3 linked regions of the Drosophila melanogaster genome follow. The protein of the gene in region 1 interacts with the protein of each later gene in a pairwise test. Each region holds a gene or a part of one and is shown in the gene's direction. Other genes may lie near its edges.

The links.
Region 2: the proteins of dimm (region 1) and disco interact in binary tests that used the Drosophila melanogaster proteins (3 or more experiments, as listed by UniProt).
Region 3: the proteins of dimm (region 1) and Nf-YC interact in a two-hybrid assay, tested with the Drosophila melanogaster proteins (one study listed by BioGRID).

What each region holds. Positions count from the first base shown.
Region 1 is NT_033779.5:21,328,441-21,335,785, forward strand, and holds the start of dimm (dimmed), read left to right. Parts: upstream 1-3,315; 5' UTR 3,316-3,586; intron 3,587-7,345. UniProt on the Drosophila melanogaster protein: Transcription factor that regulates neurosecretory (NS) cell function and neuroendocrine cell fate. Acts as a master regulator of common NS functions such as Phm expression and neuropeptide production.
Region 2 is NC_004354.4:16,209,004-16,219,285, reverse strand, and holds disco (disconnected), read left to right. Parts: upstream 1-2,535; 5' UTR 2,536-3,035; intron 3,036-5,941; 5' UTR 5,942-6,007; coding exon 6,008-7,714; 3' UTR 7,715-8,688; downstream 8,689-10,282. UniProt on the Drosophila melanogaster protein: Required for the establishment of stable connections between the larval optic nerves, the Bolwig's nerves, and their target cells in the brain during embryonic development.
Region 3 is NC_004354.4:6,816,569-6,824,262, reverse strand, and holds Nf-YC (nuclear factor Y-box C), read left to right. Parts: upstream 1-3,343; 5' UTR 3,344-3,536; coding exon 3,537-3,580; intron 3,581-3,738; coding exon 3,739-5,107; intron 5,108-5,169; coding exon 5,170-5,562; 3' UTR 5,563-6,085; downstream 6,086-7,694. Other genes in the region: Atx-1 (ataxin 1), read right to left, coding at 206-571, 625-850, 908-1,008; xit (xiantuan), read right to left, coding at 1,450-1,891, 1,959-2,069, 2,133-3,047, 3,103-3,170; iav (inactive), read right to left, coding at 6,107-6,257, 6,318-6,538, 6,594-7,391, 7,448-7,694.

The sequences.
Region 1 (7,345 bases):
ACCCTATTAAGTGCAATGTTTATACAATATTGCTATTGGTGCAAATGGGCACTTCTTTATTGACCTTTGTGCAAGACAAAACGTCGAGTGAAATGCTCGTTTTAATAAGTCAAAGAAAACGACAGACCAGATCAGAGGACAAACCCAACTGTTGATGAGCACCGCTAACGCAAAGACTCACTAGTCTGAAATAATCAAAACGTTCCTATCCTATCCGGAACTGTAAGAAGCTTTCGGCTAAACAATTTTCCCCTTCTTTTACAGCTCTGTCTCCTGTTTTTCTTCCTGTTTATTGTTTCCATGCTTTCGCTGAAAGAGGTGGGGCGCGCAATTGCTTACGCTGCCGACGGGTGATTTACATAATGTCGACAACATGCTGCTCGTACTACCTCTATTTCTTGTTCCCATCCCTTGCAACTGAGTTGCCAGTTTAAAAATATTAACTGTCAATTTGTATTTGGAAATACTTGGCTGAAGGGGAATTAGTGATAAAAGCAAATAAAAAGGGAAGAGGGACTTATTTTCAGTAAATAAACTTTTTCCTTGGCTGACTAATATTAAACAAATAATGCAGCGATGCTTCATTTTAATTCAGTTTTAAAGCAAGTATTAAATCCAAAAGCATCAGTTATAATGTTCCCTCAACTCAGAAAGGTCTTTCCTATCATTTCGAAGAAAACTGAGAACTTAATTTCCCGGGTCGGGGTAACGCTCCTTTTACATGCAACATATTTTTAAATTCATACATTACACCATTATATTATCCACCTCAACAATTATTTATTTAATATAAGGCAAATTCCAACTTTGACTTGGAATAAACAATTACAATTCCAGCAGTGAACTTAACATATTTTTTTTTCTTAGTGTTCTATACATGAAAGTTTTATCCATGCAATATTGCAGCAATTATTGAAATCCCTTTGATCCAAATCAAACAAAAGAAATATTAGTCATATAAAAAACCGCATACGCACATATTCGTGGAGGGAAGCTCGCAACATTCGAATAAGCAAAATAGCTTTCCTAGCAACATTTCATTATCTGCCGACAATAGTTTATCATGAGATAAAGCCCTCCCGATAAGGGCATAAGCACTGTGATAACCAACAGCAACAAGAGCGTGGACAAACAGACGATAATAATAATAACAGTATACAACTCACTCAGTCAATCGGAGTTGGTAACAAAGGAGCTGGCGACAGCCAAGTGGAAAGTCAGCCGCAGTCGAATGCAGGCCGTCGCAAGCAACATGCGTCACATGTACTAATCAGGCTAGTCATCCGCCTCTCACTTAGACCCTTGCACTATGGGAAATTTACCCACTTTTTCTGGCTAAAAGCCATTTTCTGAAAGTCGGTCGATTAATGCAATATTTAATAAGTCTATTCATAATTGACCAATGTTTAGAAATAAATATATATGGAGCAACAACAAAGAAATATGCTGTTAAAAACATCTGTTGCGTCTACAAAAACATTTACGTTAAGTTTTTCCTCCGTTACAAAAGTTGTAATGAAGCAGCTGATTTAAGTGTATTAAGTTTATGTGACTGTCAAAATAAAAAAAAATCGTGTTGTACCCAAAATTGAGTAAAATATAAATTTCCTTACAAAAGCATTTGTTTGATAAAGACTTAACTTAAAAAGTCCATCAATGAAATGTACCTCATGTTGTAGCTTTGTATTCTTGTTAAGTTTTTTATGCTAAAAAGGAGTTCAACAAGGCGGTTGCTGATTTGTTGCTGATTTGTTTTATTATTATACCCGTTACTCGTAGAGTAAATAAATTCGTTGAAAAGTATGTAACTGTCAGAAGGAAGCGATTAAGACTATATAAAGTATATGTTCTTGATCAGGATCAATAACCGAGTCGATCTTATCATGTCCGTCTGTCCGACTATCCGTATGAAGATCTGGCCCTGTCCGTCCGTATGAACGGCGAGATTTCAGGAACTATAAAAGCTAGAAGGTTGAGATGCAGCAGACAGATTCTAGAGACAGACACAAGTTTGTTGACCCATTTTTCCACGCCCACTCTAACGCCCTAAAACCGCCTAAACGGCCGCATTTTGTGAAATGTTGAAATGTTTTCAAAATTGTATTATTCTTGTAAATTCCTATCGATTTGACAAAAACATTTTTGCCACGCTCACTCTAACGCCCTAAAGCCGCCGAACCGGTTAAACCCACACTTTGGAAATTTTTTCTCATTTTATTCCCCAAAAATGATTTATTCCCCAATCTGATAGTCGGAGAACTCGACTATAGCATTCTCTTTTGTTTTTGTTAGTATTATTTTATATAAAGGAGAATTCCCTTTACGAAAATTAGTTAATTAAATATAAGGCGTGGTGCCACGCCCACAGTTTTGGAAGTCTCATAGATATGGTCTAGTATAAGTCAATGTAAGAAAAGAAAAACCAAATATCTTACTCCGTTCTGGAGTTATTCATTTTGGTCAGAAAAAGTGGTAAAATTTCCCATAGTCCCTTGTGGGTGCCCCTGCCCTATGGCTCAATACCCCCCTCTGGAGTTGAGCCTGAGCACGTGGTGTCCATGTCTAGGAACTCCGAGCCACAATCCACCCCGTTGGGCAAATATGTGGTGGCGTTGGAACTGCATCTGTGTATGTGTGAGCTAGCCTGGGACAACGTGCCGGGAAGGGTATATTCGTTTTACGTTTTTACGTTCGTTTTTCATGGGACCTAGTACTTATTGATATAATGTCGGAGTGAGTAGAGGAACGTCATGCCCTGCCAACGGAGTTTTGGTTTGATAAATACTTAATATTTCGCATTTGAGTTTCGAGTTGAGTTTATTTAATTTTGGGTTCGAAAACAAACACTTTCTTGGTTTTGCAGTCATTTGGCTATGAAACTTTAAAAATAGTGCAGGAAATACCATTACACTTTAATGTGTCGAACGGAACTCGCATTAGATACATTCGTAAACATTTTCATATAAAAAAAATTTATTCAAACAGTTACTTAGTATTTATATTAAGGAGTTATCGTGGGTACGGACTGCAATGTCAATATGCAGGCATTAATTAAAGGACCCCAGATAACATAATCCTCTAATTTCAGCGGTGCCACCTCAATACTTTGGAAAATACGAAAAAAAACACTCTGACTCAGAAATCCACTCCGTTTTTGAGTATTTTCAGTTGCTCTCCATTCGCCAGTCTGTTTCGACTCAGGCTCTCGTGCGGGCGGAAGCTCCAGCCCCCTCTGCTGGGTGGACTTGTTGCTCGACTCGACTCCCATCGGCCAGGCTTGTGATTCGTCTTTTGTCTGGACTCGGGTCGGCCGATGGCACCGCTTCGTTCATTCAGCCATTCCACAAGTGGCCGTCATCACCAGCGCTTCCGCGTTTCCGGTAATCGTTGTGCGCTCCCGAGATATTTGATTCGAATTGTGCGGAAGTTTTTAAAAAATACTATTGCTTAGAATTCGAAAACGAAAAAGGATAGCCAAGGATCGATATATATTTAGCAAAAATGAAATGCAGCGTGAATTGTGAGAGTTGTTGAAAAGTGACTTAAATATTTAAAAACATCGTGGATTAATTACATCCAAGTACATGTAAGTTGTCAGTACAATTAAGCTGGCTGAAATGCGTTGTTGGGTTGAGTTCAACAATTTTGACAAAGTAAACTTACCTTATAAAATAAAGCCGACTAATTATGAAAAGCTTACACAAGCAAACCATTGAAAAATAAAAGAAAGCATAGAAAACTAATTTTATTTCTTTTCAACAATCGGTAGTCATTCGGGCTTGGGATAAGTTTACTTCATTTACAAAATTCCCCATACACTTGTCAACTGCAGTATACGTTGTTGTAACTTAGCGGGTGGACCGCACAGAAAAGGCAAACAATTGCTCACAAAAGTATGCTTTATTTAATAGAAAGCGTAATAAATATTACACAAGACCAGGTGCAGGTTGCATCGCTAAGATCCTCAAACCCCTATTTAGCGCTAACAAAGAAAGTGAAATTTTCTGTTAAGTCTCCAAAGGAAGAAGTAGACATTTCTATTGTAATGCCTTGATCGAAGTATGGTTTAACCATTCCCATGAGATGACATTTAAAGGTTGTGCGGAAGTTTTCAAAATAAATGAGTCCAAGAATTTTCTAGGATTATACGTTGGATTCAGGCTATTCATCTACTGTTGGCTAATCGAATGTTAAAATTATTCTCTCCCTTTAAAAGCCAATTGAATTATAAATACTGTTTTATTGTTTAATAAAAATAGGCGATATACAAATTAAAGAAACGGTTAAATGGAATTTATAAATCTGTCCTTTGAATAGACCCCCGATGTGTTAAGCCATGTCACTTTTCTCAACATTTCTTAAGAGACCCCAAAGAGTCTGAAGTCCAAGGAGCTGTTGTCGTTAAATAATAGCGACACTTTTGTTTCATTCAACACCGACGACGGAATAAATGCACTGCAAAGTGCGCGGTTTCTAACAACAAAGTCAATGCACATTTCTCGTCCCGCGTATTCCTTGGTCTGTCTCACGCTTTAAACGCTGCTGCAGGTTCCGGGTCAAATGCTGGTAAGCCAAAGGGCATAACCATAACAACGACAATGCGGCAAAAGCGTTTCATCGGTAAATGTTTTTTATACTCCTCAACTCTTGGCAAAAAAAGTATATTGTATACATACAAAAGAGTTTAGCAAGAAGTTGATGTATTCGCAAATTAAAGAGAATATTAAGCGGGTAAACTTTTATTTCATAAAAATAAACCGCCATAATTTTTAATTCATTTTTGGGACATGTTTCATTTATCTTTGCATTGCGATATAATTAAAATAGATGGTATGAAACCTTAATTTTTTAATCGTAATGACTTAAACATTCTGGCCACGCCCACTCTTACGCAAGCATGATTTTTTTCTAGACAGTACGGTGATATATAGTATGTTACATGAACCGTGTAGTTACAGTGCCCTATAATGGTGAACCGGTTCGCGAGCCAAAACTCTTTTAAATAATCATTACTTTTGCTAAATGAAAATCTTTCACAAATTCACATACTTATACACATTAAAGTGAAGCTAACAACGTGACAACAATTGATGTCCGGCAAGCATCGCATCTTGGGGTCTCTCTTTTTCCAGAACCCTAATACTTATCCGTGGTTCAGCAGCAAGCACCTCGATGATAGTGTCTTCTCTGGAAGCGAAAAAAGGCGTCGCCGGATGTAGTAAAATAGTCGTCCTCGCAGTTGTCCTGTGCACAGCCTTGATCCGAATTCTCATAAGTCCCTGAGATCAGCAAGGAGACCATTTTGGCAACGAAAATCACACGCCTGCTGTTGACTTCTGCGTTGGCCGATTAAACCCAACCAAACCCAAAACTTTTAGAAGTCCGAAGTTCTCATCGACTCAGGCTCTTTATATACAAAATCCATAGCCATATACAGAATCACAAGAGTTTGTGAACACCACTGTACCATTACAAAAGACAAGCAATCGACGATGTACAGCACTGCGCTAAATGAAACCAAAAGATGGCCTTAACTATAATGGCTCGCAATATCTATCTGGTGATGTTTTAAACGAATAAAGTCGAATTCTTGTTCAAAGAGGGCATTTTTCGTGGTCAGTGGCAGTGCAAACCGCTGCATATGACCGACCGCGATTTTTTAGAGCACCTTCGATCTGGTGAAAAAATATTATCAGTTACTAAAACCGCAGTTTACACTTCTTTTTAGTTTTTTTGTTTTAAGGGTGTGCAAACGATAAGAAAATAATAATAATGGTTTTGCAAACGTTTTTAATTGATAATATTTAGTTGTAAGCGATGGTCAAACGCTTTATGTCATATATTTTCTAAATTATACATTTTTTCAAATTCTAAAAGGTGGTCAAACGTGAACAAACAATGGTATTGCGATTTAAAAAAAAAACCTCAACTTCTTGATTTTATATCTTTTTCGAAAATTCTGATTTCAAAAATTGGACGTGGCAAACGATACCAGATTTCAAATTAAAAGAAATTCGATTTTTCCGAACCTAGCAGTCCTTGAGCTATAAAAGCTAAAAGGTTGAGGTTAAGCATACAGATTCTAGAGACATAGAAGCAGCGCAAGTTTGTTGACCCATTTTGCCACACCTACAAACTTACCAAACCTGTCACGCCCGTGCTTTTGAAAAATGTTTTGATCTTTTTTCATATTTTCGCTGGTGTTGTAAATTTGATAAACAAAACTTTTTGCTATGCCCACTCTAACCCCCATAAACCGCCTATTTCATTCTAATTGTATTCTGATATCTGGGTTCCTGATAGTCGGGGAACTCCACTATAGCATAGTCTTTTGTTATTGCTGTGCACGGGGAATTAAACGTCACAATCAGCGAGTAAAAACACTAAAAATTATACACGTCATCATTAACTATTATCTAGGTGCCTCTTCCTTTCTGCACGTCTTTAATTATTACTTTCAGAATGTTAGTATGAAATTCATCTTATTCCTAAAGCAGAACTTATGTGATGTGTCATGTGGCCAGATGGCATCATTTTTTTCGTTAAAAAAGTATTTGACATTGAGAAAACTACTGCATAAACGATCGAGAATCGCTCTCTATTCGTGAATAGAGGGGAAAATATTATAGGCAAGTTCGTCATCTTGGATACATTTCGCAGGGTGTCCGATAATGTAGCCTGTAGTGCAATCACCATCGCCATGTCTCCGTCTGTCAGTTTACAGCAAATCCACGATGCACAGGGATCTGATGTCAAGCTAATGATAGGAAATACTTCTCTTCAACGAATTCACGACGAAATTATCAACTAATTTCGTTTAAGGTGGGCGAAGGCTATTCCTGTGACACTTGTTGGTCAGAATAGGTTCTACGTTTCGAACCACCTAACAAAAACTCAATTCATTTACTCTCTCATCTGTCGGGCTCCACAGATCTTTGTAAATCTTTTGTAAGGCATTTGTCAGTAATGTAAAAAAAAGAAAGAATGCTATAGTCGAGTTCCCCTACCTATCCCCCATCAGGTACCCGTTACTCAGCTAGTGTGAATGCGAACGCGAAATTTTATAATTTTTCGATAGATATTGGAGAATAAAATGAGAAAAACTTAAAAATATTTTCTAAAGTGTTCGGCGGTTCGGCGGCTTTAGGGCGTTAGAGTGGGCGTGACAAAAAGTTGTTTAGCAAATCGTTCCTTTGTTTTAATAATCTAGCGGAATATACAAGGCTATTTACTATATCTAAATACTACTTCCAAATTTTGAAATCAATTTAGAATAAAGACGTCGGGAGTTATTTTTATTTTTTTATTTTTTAACGATAAAAGCTGGAGCATTGAGATTTTTGTC
Region 2 (10,282 bases), on another chromosome or scaffold:
AGCATTTATTTCTCCAAATTTTTGATTAATGAAACCATTTCGCTACACAATAGAAGAGAAAGGAAAAACGAAAGTGTTGACTAGCACTGTCCAACATGAAAAAAAAAAAAATGGGGGGGCGACATCGAGATGACCCCAGAGAAGATATTTCCATTCGTTCCAAACAATATTAAAAAAAAAACCTTCGAGGATTGACTTTTCACCTTCGAACTCACATCAATCAATTCACAAAGGCCAGTTGGCGGCGCCGAATTGAAAAGTGACACTCAGCAATGGGGAATCGATTATAAAGGCACTCCACACATTAATATTATCAGATATTATTCTCAAATCAAGCAATTTGAGGACACCTTGTTGAATAGAATCGAGGCAGCATAAAGGTTGCTGCACTTGTCACTTAAATTGATGGTACATTCTGTAAAAACTTCGTTGAAAAATGATTTTCACAACACATCTAATTATAATCATTAATTTTCACATCACATTTTAAAGTGGAATTATGGTGCTTTTAAGTTTCAGATAAATCTGTTTATCTGAAAGAATTATAGTTTGGGTTTGGAGGATTTATTCCCACCTTCAGATTAAAAATTGAAGTAAACATAGTTTTTAGGAAAACAACAGTGAATAAATTGTGTTATTTATATATTTAGAACAATTAATGTTTCTGCAAAGGTACTTGCGATTACGCGATTACGAAAGCTAAATAAGAAACAACTAATTGAATGAGTGATGCATTGTATTTGAGAAGCCTTAAAGCTTAAAGCTTTAGGTTAACAAGAAACTGATTTGGGTTTGGTTTATAAGTAGTAAGTAAACTTACTTGAATGAATTTTAGTTAGAACCTTATATACCATTTAAACGTATGGTATGATATGTAATACTTAAAGATATTGAATGTTAAGAGAGTGCTTTTTATTAAGTCCTGACCATTTCCTGGAAGTCCAACATTGATGCTAACGCCTTGTGGGTATGCAACATAATAATGCGGTCCTTATTGTTATATTTTTTTATGGTGATTAATGCAAATAGGATTTGTTCCGTACGGTTTTTTTTCGCTTTAAGAACTTTTCTCGGACACTTGTGTGGATAAATTGAAGAACAAATGTGGCCAAATATGTATGTGTGCTTTTGTATCCTTATGTGGGACATTCCGGCGTCTAGCAAATACATACATATACTGTGTGGGAGTGTGGGTGAGAATTATTTTAATTCGGCAATGAAAAGGACAATGAAACGACAAGGAGCTGTGTATATGTGTGTAGGTGCTGCTATCACATAAGGCACTTACATACCGAAGCTGTGCAATTTACATAAGTTATACATGCATACATATGTACATACATATATAGTGGTGGTGGGGGCGGTCATGGTGATAGGATCGTTGAGGGACTGCGGTAGGGGTGTGGGGTGGAAAGAGGAAGCAGCAGCGTCGCTTCTTTGTCACCAGTGCTCGAATTCCATTGGTGCTGTGTGGCGACAGGGAAAAAAAATCGAAGCGAATCGCCCCCATTGCCAAAGTGTCACCCATACACAGATACACCTATACAGCGACATTCGCACCCACACACACACCCATACAGATGCACAGCGCAATCGCAAAACAAAGAGAGCCGCTCAACGCGGCCATTCGTGCGGGTGCGATAGGGACGGCGAGAGGGCACAGCACCGAGTGGACAAGACATCAAATGACAAAAATTTCAAAAGAACCTTCGTGAAGAGAAGCAGAGAGGAGAAGCCCAAGACAAAAAGTGACGTCGCAGCAGCGACAAATTACGTACTGTGTACTGTATACTGTGGCCATTGCCATTTCACTCTCGTTGCTCTCTCCCTCTTGCGCTCTTGTGCTCCGGCTCCCTCTCTCTCGCTCTGTCACACTATAGTGCCCGGCCATGTACTCACACCATCGAACCCAAGGCACCCATACCAGCAAGCGGCGAGAGCGAGCGCTGCGTTCTCTTTGGCTGGCGGCAGTGCGTGTGAATGTGTGTGCCGCACTGACCACACACACACACGTCGCATGTCGCATGTGTCAACCCAACGAAACGGTTTCGTCCACTCAGACGACAGTGTGCGAGCGGGCGCGAGATAGCCGCACGAGCGTGCCAAGCCGCTCGCACGCACGGGACGGCGCTCTTTCGCGGCGTGAGTAAGAGAGTGGTGGCTACTCTTGCCTCGCACTGCTTTGCCGACTGGGCGAGCGGGATGGACTCAAGTGCGGGCGGATCTCTCGCTCGCACTCGGGCGAGTGCCTAATGACCCATCGACGACAATGTGACGAAGGCCAATTCCAATAGCGCGCTCTCTCACACTCTTCCAGGTGCAAGAGCGAAAGAGTGAAAGAGAGAGGGCGCAAGAGCGAGCGGGAGAGCGAGCGAGAGAGAGCCAAATGTCACCCACCCCGCGTGTGCGTGTGTGTTTGTGTCAGTCAGTCGGTGTGTCGGTGTCGGTGTCGCCGCATTTGTCGCTCGCTCTCTGCCCGCTGCGCTGCCGGCGTCGCAGTCGCCGCACAAATTCGTTGGTGAAACGACAAATCGACAATCAGTGTCACCCACGACATTCGAAGAAGTGGATCTCTGCTGTCCCTGCTCTCCGCACATCCGCATCTTCGTCGCTACTTCGTTTGCCACTCCGCATATTCACATATTCGCATCCGCATATTCGCGTCCAGTCCACTCTTCTCTCTGCCGCGCGACCCAGTGCATAAGTGTGCGTGCATACGAGCGTGTGTGTGTGTGTGTGTGTGTCATCGTCAACTGTGAACGACCAACTTTTTTAATATCTCAGCAAAATGCAACAAAAATAAATGCACCACGGGCATGAAAACAACAACAGCACACAGCTCCAACAGTGAATTCTACCATCTGAATTTATCAACTTTTTACGCAACAAAATATCAAAACAAAACAAAGCGAAAGAAACCCTTTTTTTAAATCTCAAACCTGTGACAAAGTGAGAAAATCTAAAACAAAAAAAAAAAACAGCAATAAACCAAAATACAATAAAATATCTACAACTCGCTGCTAAATTAGCAAAAGGTATGTATAGTTCGAGTAAAGTTGATTTGCCGTCGGCACTTCAAGCAAAGAATTCAAATTCAAGTGAAGTCATAGTGAATATTTTTCGAGATCAGAGGAGTATTTTCTAAAAAGAAATCCTGGTGCCATAAAAATATTACCCATTCAAGAATTGTGTTATGAAATAGGAACGCAACAATAGGATTCTTTTCGTGGTAAATAATGATCTTGTTAGGATCACATAGGCTGCTAGTGGCATTAATATGGTATTACCATTTTCATGGGATCTCTGGTGATGTGCTGCCATCTTTTACCTCTAGTCTATGGATTTTCTTATAATATCCTGACTTTGCTAAATTGAAAACAGCTTGTTAATCCAATGTTCGTAAACCCATTTTTGTCTATTTGCTGCGTGAGCTTCGACGACAAAAAAGTGATGTCTTCGGGGGAAACGCCAAATGTCAAAGTTGTAATTAAGATTTTTGTCTGCGGTTTTCGAGCTCTGTTTTTCTCGTTGATGTCCGGACCATCGGCGTTGTCATCTTTGGACCATCGCATGCCCCTTGCATGCCCCTTGTGCCCATCGACTCCTGCTTATTATAATGTACTACTATTAACAGCAACTACAACAGCAATTATAGCCGCCGGATTGCTCACATCTCGGCATCTTCCATCCCCAACTGCCACACACCGTACTCCACAGATCTTGGATCTACCATCTACCATCTAAAGCGTCTCCCAACTCTCGGAATTCTTCAATCTTGTCGTTTCTTGTCTTGGGTACTTTCAACATTTTGCTGCCTTTGCCACTGCCGATAATCAAAAAACGTTTCGTCCGAGAGCCATCAAAAGTTGTGATTGGTTTTTCCCCTACCCCCAGCTGCCCAACATCACCCCCCCTTTCACCATCGGTGGCTTAAGACATTTTAAGCGTTTGACAAAAATAATTACCCATGTACATGCATACTCACCTCGATCTGTCGACCGCGTGCACTGAGAGAAAATAGAGAGGTTGTTATTGTTTTCCGTTGCGCCTTATTGTGCTATGCAAGATTGTTATGATGCTTAGATCTTGAATTGTTTTATATTGAAATGTTAAAAGATCTATATTTTTTTTTGAGTTGAATCTCTTTTTTAAAAGATTCTTGGAAGATAAAAAGGTATAGGCACCTTCAACTCATATGATATAGTTAACTTATAATGATCTAGAAAATTATTGCAACATCTTTGGGTCATTCTCTATTTCTTGAATGGTAACAATATTTTCGGCACCTAGTCAGAAACTGATTACTTCCAAGTACCTGACAATTAAGTTTTTTTTCCCCCCTTTTTGCTCTTCTTTTTTTTTTCTTGCGCTTTCGCATTTTCGCCGTGTGTACATACACTCATTTTAATGCTATTGTTGTCATCGTTACTAATGAGCCCCATAAAAAGCGACCATCTCCTGGCTTCCTGCAACTGTGTGCGTGTTACCTGTATGCCTGTATGTGTGAGCCATAGTCGTATGTGGTTTTCGGCTTAACTTTTTAGCTGGCATTGGGCAAGCGAATGCGAATGTGTGTTCGACTTTTGAGATCGAATCCAGATAGCCAGCCACGACATCGCACACACGATCATCACCATCGTCATCCGCATCTCACCGCAATTGTCCCCAGTTTTGTGACGCCCCTGGGTTCGGTTCACTTCTTTTTTTTTTTTTTTACCCCTGATTTGTTTCTGTTTTTAACGTCAAGTCGACTGCTCACAATTACGGTAGCGAACGGAGTCCACAATAAAAAAAATGAGCTAGCTCTGGCTTTAGCTTTGCTTTTGGTTTTGGTTTTGGCTTTAACTCCGACCGATCGGATCCAAAGTCGAAGTCCGACACTGATCGCCGCATGTTGTCGTCGCCGTCGACGTTGTCAGAGGCGATTTTAATGGCCAGAAGAACCGAAAAAGCTGTAAAAGATTTCGCTCGAGTAAATGAGGCAATGTGCACTTACACAAGTAATGCGCCAGTGTTAGTGTACAGTGGGCCTTGGCTACGACAGAAATTGGGTGCATAGGAACCAAAATGATAAAGATTAAACAAATGATGTAGCGTCAGTCACTGGGATACCCCTTTTGATTATTTCAAAATACAAAACATGGCAACTCTAGTTGTTCTACTGTACTATCGGCTCGACATGAAAGATATGCCGCCATCGGTGTCGCCGATATAAATGTTCGCTTGTCTGAGTTATTGTAAGCAGTGTGTGTCTTACCAATAAATCTAGCTGGATTTGCACAAAGTTGGCTAAGCTCCTTGGAAGCTTTCACTTGGGAATTTCGGTAATACACTTGAGATATGACTTTAGAGCGCTTTCCAATGCTATAGATTAGTGCTTTTGGCGTGGCAATGCAGTCATATGTACATATACATTCGCCTCAGATATTAATCTATATCTTAAGGATATCGAATATTAATTAATGAAAAAGCCATTTGAACAGCAATGGGGTTTTTTTTTTTTTGAAGCACACAGCTGGCAGCCTTAAAGACTTTCTTTTAAATCTGGATTTCAGAATGTATCTTACAGCAATGACCAACTAATCGCTGTAATCCACTGATTAATTGAGACCCCCCCCCAAAATAAAGTTTTCTCCCCTTGACTTATTCGACCGTCTTGACTTTTCGCACTCTAATTGCGCATCAATGACCACTGCCCAATGTCCCAGGTCCAGGAGTCAATGTCCATGTCCCCGGCACCACAGACCATTCAACAATTTGCCCTGCTGACTCTCGGCGATAAGGTTGATTCCAGTTTCCCAGTTGTAGTTGCGCAATCGGATTTGCCCCGCAACCCTGGCAATAGTTTTCGATTAGGACTGACCGATTCACTGACTTCCTGATTGACACTCCCTGATTGACACTCCTAACGATTCGTTTCTGTTTCTTGTTTGTTTTCCAGGCACCACCAGTCATCGCCATCGCCATCGCCAGCGCGACCATAGAAACAAAATCCACCACAGACGACATGGAGCACATAATGAATCCGTTCATGTCACCGGCTTATCTGCTGGGCCATGGCCCACATTCCCACCAGCATGTGCACTCCCATCTACCGTCACACCCGCAGCCAAATGCCGCCTCTCCGGCCAGCTCACCCGGCGGATCCAGTGGCTCTGGATCGGGATCGGCAGCGGGATCGGGCACTGGATCAGGTTCATCCTTAAAGCCTCGTCGCTGGGGCTCACCGCCCATCAATCTGGCCGGTCAGTTTATCAATCCAGCCACGGGAAAGAAACGAGTACAGTGCTCCATTTGCTTCAAGACCTTCTGCGACAAGGGCGCCCTTAAGATTCACTTTTCGGCCGTGCATCTTCGCGAGATGCACAAGTGCACGGTGGAGGGCTGCAATATGGTGTTCAGTTCGAGGCGTTCGAGGAATCGCCATAGCGCCAATCCGAATCCCAAACTCCATTCGCCACACATCCGGCGCAAGATCTCGCCGCACGATGGCCGCACTGCCCAGCAGTTTCCGGTTTTCTCGCCCGGAACAGCCGCAGCAGCGGCCGCTGTCGCCGGACGACTTCCGGTTGCCTTTCCCGGACTTCTGCCACCGCCGCCGCCGCATCATGGTCACCATCCGTACGTCATGTTCGGCGGACAGGCGGGTCTACATGGCTTGGGCCTGCTTTCCACCGGCTGTCAGGATCCCGATTCTGGATCGGTGGACAATGAACAGGATGCTGATCCCGAAGATGACAACGACTTTGTGTACGTGGACATGCAGGCCAATAGCTCTAGTCCGGCGGCCTCCAGCGAGGATCAGGAGGAACACGAACGGGATAATGAGCAGGATGAGGAGATGCACTGCAGCTTGAGCCTGGCCAGCAGTAGTAGCATTGCCGCCGATGAGGAGCGGGCAGCTGACCAGCCATTGGATTTCAGCCTTCACAAGCGTCGCAAGTCGGAGCAGGATCGGGAACAGGAGCAGGAGCAGGAGCAGGAACGGGAGCGGGAGGCGGAAAAGGAGCAGGAACAGGATGTGGAATCCGACAAGGAGCACGAACCCGAACAGGAGCATGAGCTGGAGCGTGAGAAGCGCTCGCCCAGCGATGCCTTCTCCATGGATCAGTTGCTGGGCAAGCGTAAGCGTCACGACAGCACCGCCTCCAGCTCCGCCTGTTCCACGGCAGCCGCCTCCTCCGCCTCTAGTTCCTCCGCCAGCGCTAGCGCCAATCCACCACAGACGAGCATCAAAATGGATCTGGACCCGGATAGCGACAGTGCCTACATGACCAGCCGGCGGCAAATGCTCCCACTGCCCGTTCTGGACCTCGAGGAGCATCATCATCTGCGCCTGCTGCAGACCCAGATGTTTGCCGCCGCAGCGGCTGCCGCTGCCACCAGCCAGGCACCGCCCACCGCCTTCCTGCCGGCGGGATCACCCGTGGATCTGGCCAAGGACTCGCCGCCCATGTGGAGTCTCCTCTCCGAAATGTACCGCTCCATGCTGCTGAAGACACAGCACCAGCAATACAACCACCATCACCAGCTGCAGCAGCAACACCAGCAGGAGCAGCATCATCATCTGACCCTGAGCCACCACCATCAGGAGCAGCACCATCATCTGGGTCATCACCACATGGGTCACCACCACCATCATCACCATCAGCACCACCAACAGCAGCCGCAACAGCAATCGCCGGCGGCCACGAATGCGCCGATTTCCGTCTAATGTCCAGACTGCTGATCCATGGCGATGATTTCTAGATGATTTCCTTAGTCAAATTTGTTTTTATATTTTTTTTTTGTGTGTGAATCGTATTTTAAGAAGAATACATTTGGTGGCGTGCTGCATTACACAAAAAGGTGGAGCTTCAGGTGGTGGGGCTGTGCCACAGCTTGACCATTAAATGGCTGGCACTCCTCCTCAGGCGCGACCCCGCAACACCCGCAACCAATGCCACTAAGTACCCCACCCCCCCCTCTGAAAACTGGAATTGCTCCGAAACTAAGCTTTTTCTGCTCGTACATGTGTTATATGGATTTTTTTTTTTTTTGGAAACCTATGTATAATGTATAATGTATACTGTAGTGCGACATCTAAGTGTATAGTATTCAATCCGTTCCTCAGTGTGAATGTGCAGATGCATGAATGAGAGTGTGTGTGTGTGTGTGTGTGGGATCCCAGGATCGGATCCAAAAAAAAAAAAAAATTAAAGTCTGTCATCTGAAAAGCGGGCTGGGCAGTGCAGAAGCGGGGATTTTGGAACGGGTTCCGTTTCCCTGCCCCCTCTATCGGTGTACAACGAAGTATTGATATTTATAACGAAATATATATTATGAATGGCATATATTAAATAGTTTTAAGACAATTTTTTTCGTAGCCAATAAAACTATATTGTATTGTATAACTTGGATGTACTAACACAGCAAGCAAATTCTATTGAAACATATCCCCCCCGTGTGTTAAAAAAATAAAAAACCAGAAGAGATTCAATTCAACCAATCCCTAAAGAAAAAAAATAAACCCAAAAAAAAAAAAACAAAATTATAAAAATCCATCGCAAAGGTTGATAGATCGTAGGTGAACGAAAATGTTATTGCTATCGCAAACGAAAATTCCTCCCGACGATTGTGTACTGTATTACAACAAGATTTTAAGTTTTTTATTAACAAATAAACAACGGCAAAATTGAAGAAACATGTAATCAAAGATGCTTTTTTTTATTGGTTCTCTGGGCGGATACATAATTTTCATGTTTTCACTATGAAAATAGAGCATATGTACTTTATGTGAATAATATAGATGAGTCATCGATTTTATGCGGATTTTGTTTTTCCATTCGAAAGATATAAAGTCCAGTGGAAAATATCTACAAAAAATTGCTATTTTCGTTAAATGCCATTTAATTCAGATATATTACTGCCCACCTTAAATCATTTAGTAATGTTTTTACGTAAATAGACCGATGTGCGTAACTCATTTGGATCACAATCACAAGTCAAGCTAGCTCTTCTCGCCTGCGAAAAGCACACGTACATATTTGCTTGTCTCAACGAATCCAGATTCAAATGTATATAGTATTGGTCTGATGAGATCTATAATGGGCAACGCCCTCGAAATGGTCTGTCCCTCCCGTTTGCACAAATGAGTATCCGAAATGCCGACGGACACTCACAAGAAGGCGTGACATGCGGCATAAATTGGTTTTCGGCTCCGCAACTATAGCATAGCATACCATACCGAAACCATACTTTACGGTTCCGAACCATACCATACCATACCAAACCAAACCATACCATGCCATACCATACCATGCCATACCATACCATATTCCTATACTCCATCCAATACTTGTACATATCGTACTCCCCCCGCGAATCGTCGTGATGAATGACCAACTATTGGTCGCAGCGGCAACCACATCATCATCATCATTATGGATAGGCATTTGAGGCCACTTATGGACGGATTACACACTCAGGCGCACGCACACCAATATAGATACAAATATATGTACATATATGCAGATACAGATACATAGTCTGTAGTGTAAGTGGCCAAATAGAAAGACCCTAAGTAGACGGCTGTAGGAATCTCACATTCTCGTCCGCCACTCGCACATATTTACGATTCTATGAAACACGCAACGATATTAACACCGCTTCCACAATATTCTCTGCTTTATTTTCCCAATCACTTCGGACACGGCTTACTTTAAAGCGACTAATTACTGGCCTGGTCAAAATGGGGTCGAGTGTAGCTCTATAATGGCCAAAGAATGCTTTTTGAGATCAAAGAACACATATGTACATACATATTGTACGCCTTGTTTCAATATTGTCCCATTCGATTTTTACATACCAAATAAATCGGAATGCAATCGTAAAAATTGTAGTTCAGTCGTTCGTTATGCAAAAAACTCCACGATTGTTTGTATTTTACGACTCCCCCGACTTTTAGTTGTACCATTATTCACAAACTATTATTCAGAACGCTTAAGATATCATTGCTGTCGGTGTGCCCACAAAATCCGAGCCCAAAATTCCACATTCATGTGGAGAATGGTGCCCGTGCCCGTGCCCACACATCCACAATCGCATCCACATGGATGTGTATGAAACCGAAACCGCAAAATTGACATGGATGCCAGACTGTGAAAATGTCAAGTGGTTTGAAGCGAAGGATATGAGTCGAGAGTTCCGTGCTCAGCGTTCTGAATGCAGAACGAGCACAGCTCGCAGCTAAAGAACTCGAGAATTTGGATTCCTGAGTTTTCAGAGACCGAAAAACATGAGC
Region 3 (7,694 bases), on another chromosome or scaffold:
GGCCAAAGTGGCATCTCTGTTATATTTGGCGCGCGCAATTTTGGCTTGAAATTGAAATTACAGCTACTTTAAACTTTATTTCAGAAAATTAAGCAAAATACATTGTGATTTTTGTACCTAGATTAAATTTGTAAATGCGTGGCGTACTCAAGGAATAGCGTTGAATATATTCCTGAAACGCCAGTTAAATCACCAAATTTGTGGCTTAATAGTTTAGCTTTCCCATCATGTGCTGGGTGTACACGGCCACAAAACTGGCCATTTGGGCGTACATCTCGTACGGATGCTTAAACGGCAGAAATCCATAGCTTCCGGTAGGCGGAGAACCCATCGGCACTGGCATTTCCATGGACGGGGGCAGAGAAGGAGGCGGACACGGCGGTGGCGGCGCCGGCTGAGGCGGACATGGTGCGGCGGGCTGCTCGTTTGGCACCAGCGACAAACATATGTCGCCCACCTGCAGCTGCTGGCATTTGAGCTCGTACAGCTGCAGCGACAACTGTGGATCGCAGGAGGCCCAGCCCTGTCCGTAAACAAACATTGGATGACCCGGCTGCACCTGCAAGTCCATCTGAAACATTGGTCAATGATGAGACGAATATGGGTACAGATTGGCGAACCCACCTTGGCGTGGTGTGTGTCGTAGCTGAAGGTGAGTGTCACCAGGCTGGGGCATCCACTCCAGTCTATCCTCACTACTGTCGCCTCTCGCAGCTCAAATAGTTGACTGCGCAGCGCCGACTGGATGAAGTCCTCGGTGCGTATGTCCTCCACGCGACGCATGGCTCCGCTGGCCAGTTCAATATAGGATCCCCGACGGAAGCAGGAAGCGGAGTCGTCGGAGAACCCACTAAAATTGAGGCAACTGATTAACTGGATGGGAAAAAGTGCCGAATCGTTTGCTTACTTGCTGGACCAGTGCTGTTGCGACGGAGGAGGAAGAGACGGTGGTTGCCTCCCGATTGGATCGTAGCCGCGGCCATAGGAGAGTTCCATGTGCATCTGCATGTCGATCTGTTCGTCTGGACGGAAGCTCGTCAACTGAAGTATTCCCTGCCCAGGCTGGCAATTGATATACACTTATTCATTCAGCTCCAGCGTGTTTTCCACGGTTTTTCCAGGAATGTCACCCACTCGGACGGACGGCCGGCCGACTATTCCGCCTCGTACCTGTTTTATGGCCCAAAAGGCCATAATCTGGTCGTGCCAACAGGTACGTGGCACCTTAGACGCCGCCGGTGACCGCTACCTGCCCACCGAATTCTGCTTAACAGCCATTGTTCGTTGTCCATTGTGCCGATCGGACCAGAGAATCCCGTCCAGCGGCGCCGAACTGGCTGTTGCGCCAGGCGCCTTGAAGACTGCTCGGCTGCACCACCAGCACTACCACTCTGAATGCAAGACGTGACCAATTGCGGATTTCTGCTGAAGCCCTTTATAGCGCTCCGTTTATTTGGTTTTTCGTTTTCTCTTAACAGCGGCCGCGGATGTGGACGATGCGATGGGCACCTTGCCCCAGCTAATGCCCAGAGCGTACAGATAGTAGGCCCCAAAGAAGTAGAGCACTCCCAACGCCGAGTACACGGAGGTCAGCAGTAGGGGCAAGAAGGGCAGGCGCTGGTCCAGGTGCAGCAGGAAAGAGAGCAGATGCTCGTACAGCGGAATAGCCATGAAGCCCAGCATGTATAGCCACTCCAGCGTGTGGAAGCCTCGGAAGCCGGGGAAGATGCGATACAGCTGGCCGTACATCATGGCCACGTACGACATGTACAGGGAATACCGGGGAATGTACAGATCCGCATCGAAGAGCAGCGGAAAGAGAGAGAAATAGCCGGCAATGCCAAGGACATAGGCGTATCTGGCATCCTCCCGGTTTACCAGCGTGAGCAGACTGAAAAAGGGTGGGCCTGTTAGTAGGATTCCTTCATTTCGAATTAACTGAGGGGAAGGGAACTCACCAGAGCGGAAGGAGCACCATTAAGATGGCCTTCTCGTGCACATGCCAGCCGAAGACGAAGGAGGAACAGCCGCACAAAACCACCGCTCGCAGGAAGACCAGCGGACTTTGTCTGCAAAGAGATGGCGGATAAGTTTGCTGCGATATCTTGGAATCCAAACGAGGATTTCCTCACTTCTTGGCACTGCGAAAGAGCTTCACCAAAATGGGCAGCATGAAGAGAGCGGTCAGGGCAAAAGTCACAGGCGGTGTGATGGCTGGCAGCACCGAGTGCCTGACCTCCTGGACCAATCCTGACGTCGTCGAGGCACCGCCATCCTGTACCTTCAAAACTCCGGCGGCCAACTTGTCGGCGGCATTGTACAGCGCCCAGAAGTTGGGTGCCCAGTAGGCGTGCGTTAGGCCACGCTTGAAAGGAAACAGACGGGAGAGGACTTGCGGCAATTGCTGCCAGAAGGGTCCGAAAGACACGGCGAACGGAGTAAGTCCAACGACCAGCAGCTTGACAACGGCACCCACCGCAGACACCACACTCGCTTGCTCCAGGCAATAGAAACGCAGCAGGTAGACCCCAAAAGCGGGCGCCATGTACAGAAAGATGTGCTTAAAGTTGAGCAGCACGGCGAAGGCAAAGGCGCTCCAGAGGAACCGCTGCCGGATGAGGGAACCGATGCTCAGGAGCAGTATGCCGAACAGCAAGCCATTGTACTGAAAGTGAATGTGGTCCACGAAGATCAATCCCACGTTGAGGAGCAGCAACATGGAGGCGGCAAAGAACTGCTGCGTATCCCTGCCCAATCCCAGTGAGCCCAGGCAGCTGCGCACGCCGAGCACATACACTAGATCCGTAACAATCACCGAGAGCCGCTGAAAGTAAACGGTGGCCTTGGACTCGTAATTCAGGTTATCCACCACCAGCATTCGTGGATCCACGTACTTGGCCACCTGCGAGAGCAGCCACTCGAAGTAGGCGAAGAACGGCGGATAGTCCAGTGTCCACTCGCTGGTGGCGTCCACATACCACTGATTCAGCGGCAAACTGTGGGTGATGGCCAGCCAGTTGCGATGGACTTCGAAATCCGTGGAATGGCTAAGGATGAAGTTGATTTAGTGGGCTTGATAAGTGGACAGAGCACTGCATTTACTAGGCTGGAATCAGCAGGATCTTTAGGCCGGTGGCTATGCCCACCAGGTGCCAGAAGAGGTCCTTCATCTTCGTTTCTCTCAGGGATTGGGATTGTAGTTTAGATTCGATGCATTCCTTATCAGCGGTAAGTGCTGTCCGATCTGGCTTGAAAGCGGGCAGAATGCGATTGTCGATTGTGCCGGCTAAATGTGGCTTGGAAGTAGCCAGTTAGCCCGACTAAAAGCTATCGTTATCGGGCTGTCCAGTTTTCGCCCTCACCGCCGCCTGGTCACACTGACGCTCGCGTGTATGCATGTGTGTGTGTGTGCATTACATTACGCATTTGCTTTGCGAATTAGAAGCTAATTAAAGCGAATATTGTGGACTCGAGCCGGTCGCCAGAGTCCCACGGTTGCCGCCAACGCCGAGCTAAGGTCTCCAGCCAACCGGGCCATGTACGCCACCAACAATGGCGGCACGAACAAGGCGCCAAACAGGTAAGTTCCGCCTCCGCCAGCAAAATCTAGCGCCCCTCCCCCAAAAAAACAGGCGGTACAGCCGAGATTTTTAGTGTGTGCGCCGATCCTTTTTGTTTTCATTCTGCGATTTGTGCATGCCAAATAATTTGAATGAAACTAATGTGAATGCCCTACAGCAATGCCACCTCCATGTTCGACAACACCATCACAGTGACGCCCATAAAGATGGAACTGGGCCAGGCGTATGCCAAATCGCAAAATTCAGCGGCTATGCAGCGAAGAACACCGAATGCAGTGGTGGTCACCTCCTCCTCCACCGTCTCCTCCGCCCAGCAGCAGCAGCAACAGCAGGGCCAGCAGCAACAGCAGACGGTTCCCATGGCCAGTTTGGTGTCCAACGCCTGTACGCTGGTTAATCCCAGCATGAGTGTGACGGTGGCCACCACCGTTGCGAGCGGCGCCAAGGAGAAGACCACGAAGGCCACACGAACTCAGGTGGCACGCAAACCGCCGCCCACCATCGACAACTTCTGGCCAAATATCGTGAGCGAGGTGCACAGCATCGGCCAGGTGGATGCCAAGCACCAGGTGCTGCCGCTGGCGCGCATCAAGAAAATCATGAAGCTGGACGAGAACGCCAAGATGATTGCCGGCGAGGCGCCGCTACTGTTTGCCAAAGCCTGCGAGTACTTCATTCAGGAGCTGACTATGCACGCTTGGGTGCACACCGAGGAGAGCCGGCGGCGTACGCTCCAGCGTTCGGACATTGCCCAGGCCATAGCCAACTACGACCAGTTCGACTTCCTCATCGACATTGTGCCGCGCGAAGAGATCAAACCGTCGTCGGCGCAAAAGACCAAGGATGGCAGTACATCCAGTTCGAGCGGAATGGCGGGCGCAGCCAGCAGTGCCGCCTCCACCTCCAACACAGCCACCTCCAATGCGGCCGCCTCCGTGGCGGGCAATGCTACCGCCACGGGCAACTTTGTAGCCAGTGGTTCCACCGTACCTGCGACCACCGCTGGTGGCCTCAAGCTGGACACCACGGGTGCAACCAATGCCGCCGAGGTGCTCGGCTTCAGCACTGTCAACTCGGACATCTTCTCAGCGCAACTGCAGCAGCAACAACAACAGCAGCAACAGCACGCCGCCCAGCAGCAGCAGCAACAACAGCAGCAGCAACATCACCAGGCACATCCACAGCAGGTTCAGATTATTCAGCAGGGCGCTGGTGGCCAACAGTTGCAATACTTTATCGCACTGCCGAGTCAGCAGGCGGCGCAGCTCGTGCAGCAGCCGCAGCCCGCGCAGAATCATCTACCCATCAACATTTTGTCAACCCAACAACCCACCCAGCAGTTGATACTGACCGCCGGTCCCAATGGTCAGCTGACCGCAACGCCAGCGCCGCAAACGACTGCCCAGCAACAGACGGCGCTGCTCCAGAATCTCGCCCAGCAGCAACAGCAGCACCAGCAACATCAGCAGCAGATTCAGCTGCTGCAGCAAGTGGTTACGCCCACGGGGGAGCTGACTAATGTGCCGGTAGGTATCACTTGAGGTAATTGTATTGAATCCCAGATTAAGACTTGCCTTTCCCATTGCAGATCGCCATCAATGCCAGTCATTTGAATCTCCTGCAGCGACTACAAATGCAACAGCAGCAGCAGCAGCAACAACAGCAGCAGCAACAGCAGCAGCAGCAACAACAGGTCATCATACCAACCCAACTGCTGACGACACAGCAACTGCTCCAGCTGGGCGGAGCACCCACAGTGGCCCATCAGCAGCAGCAGCAACAGCAGCAGCACGCCAATCTCACGCAGCAGAGCAACGCCAGTGCGGTGGCCAGTGGCACGCCGATCTTTATCAACTCGACCATGACTGGTGCCCAGGCGGCGGCGACGCAGGCGCAGCAGCAGCAGTCGGCGCAGCAGCAACAGGCACAAACGATCTCCACCATGTCCACGGATCGCACATTAACCGGCGGATTTCGGTAAAAGCTGGAAGTATGATATCCGTACCAACGGACGGACGGACAGACGGACAGTTGGCAATCATATCGAAAGCATCGGGAGGCATTGGAATCGGGCATTGGCAAGCGGGCATTGATTGCGCCATCCCCTGTCATCCAGCACAATGTATAATATTATAGTTTACGTAGGTGTATACGATTGTATATCGCGGGGGAGATTATATATAGCTAGTGTCTAAGTCGTAGGCATCTGTGTAGAAACGATTTCTCAATTGTAATTTATTGCTGACCCTCCCGCCCCCTGGCAGCAGGTTTCACCTTCTCCAAAAAAAAAAACCGCCACCTCCACCACTTTTAAACCTAGCACTTAGAGAGAATAATGGGAAATCGAGTGTATTAGTGTATGTATGTGACGGGTGACGGATGCCACCGGTCCAAAGCATAACCCAGCGTTTCGCGTGGCATCCGCGCTCTTTATTATGTATTTGTACTTCTAACTAAGCTAAGATCTGATAAACAATTATAAGCCACCAAGGACTATGTGCCAGAAACTCCTGCGCTAACTGTATTCACTTTCTGGCCAGGATCTTGTTGATGTCCTGCAGTTCGCGGGTGCTCCATGGTTCCAGCGGATCGGGCGGCGATTGCGTTCGCCGCGTGTAAGCGGAACGTCCCCGCTGGCTGCGCTCGTCCGGATCATCGCTTTGCTCCGGCGAAACTCTGGCGCCCAAGGAAAACGTGGGATTAAGATATGAAACGGACACTGGGATGGGAACTCACTTGTTTCGGCGACGAACACGAGCACTTTTGGCGCGACGAGCGGCCTCATCCTGTGCTGGCTGGCACTTGCGCAGGTGAAACTGCTTCATAGTGGCGTGCACCTCCTCCGCCGTGGGTATATCCTCGCTGTCCTGTCCACCATTGCCGTCCTCGGTCTCCACTTCGGCTTCCTGTTCGATGGTCAGCACCTCCTCCGCGACGGCTTCATCGAAGTGGAAGCCCTGCTAGTGGGTTTACATTTTGCACTCAGCTATTTCACTTTTTTTATCCACTCACCGTGTCCACATCCAGGCCAGGTGGTGCCCACACCGAGGACATGGGCTGAAACTGTCCATGGCTGTGACCCTCGAATCCCTGCTGATCCCGTCGAATTTCCGCCTTGGATAGGGCATTGTGTGTCCGTTTGGCCAGCGATAGCTTGCCGAGAATGGGTCCGCCGCTGTCGCTCTCCTCGGTTTCCACCTCGGCCAGCATGGCCATGAACTCCTCCAGCTTTTTGGGATCGACAATGTCCTTGGGGTCTTGGAAAAGATTGCTCAAGTTCGAAATGGGCAGTGGCATGGCCATTAGATCGGAAGCAGCAGCAGCAGTAGCAGTAGCTTGTGTTGCAGGAGCGGCTGGAGATGCTTTGGCCACCGAAGCCACTGGCAGTGGATCCACCTTCTTGGCCACCGGCGCTTGCGGCTGTGTCTTCATCGTTTGCTCCACCAAATCGAAAGCCTTATTGGCCAGCTGCTGCAGGCCGGCAAAGTAGTGGGGATCATGGGTCTCCGGTCGCTGGTCCGACATCATGATCAGCTCCCTGAAGGGATCCGGTGCTGGCGGTGCGGGCGGAGGCGCTGTTACCGATCGCAGGGTGACGCCATTGGAGGAAGCCGGGTTGCTAGCGAAGGTCAGCATGTCCATGGCGTTGGTGAAGTCGGAGTCCGTGTGCAGATTGTAGGGATCCTTAAGCTTCTGCTTCGTCACTTTCACGGGACTGGAGATGGAGGCACGGCCCCACATAAGGCGACGCATCTCCTCGCCGGTCATTCCGCGTTTCTTGAGCGCCGTTAGCGTCACACGACCCACGCGCTGCAGAGGATTGGCTTAGGAATGCATTAGGATGCGTACGGGGTATGGCAACTTACCTTCCAGTTGGAGACGGCTCCTTTTCGCTGCTTGGCCCTCGTCTTGCTCTTGCTCTTGATGACCATCACGCCGCGCACTTCGAAACCGGAGTCATCGGACGGACCCAGCGGGATGGAGTATGCCTCCAGATAGCCCTTGGCATCCGCCTGCGGAACAGCGCGCTCCAGGGTGACGACAATCTTGGCCCACTGCTTCATCCATTCCTTCTCCGACTGCTCGATCACAGTCACATAGGTGTTGCCCATC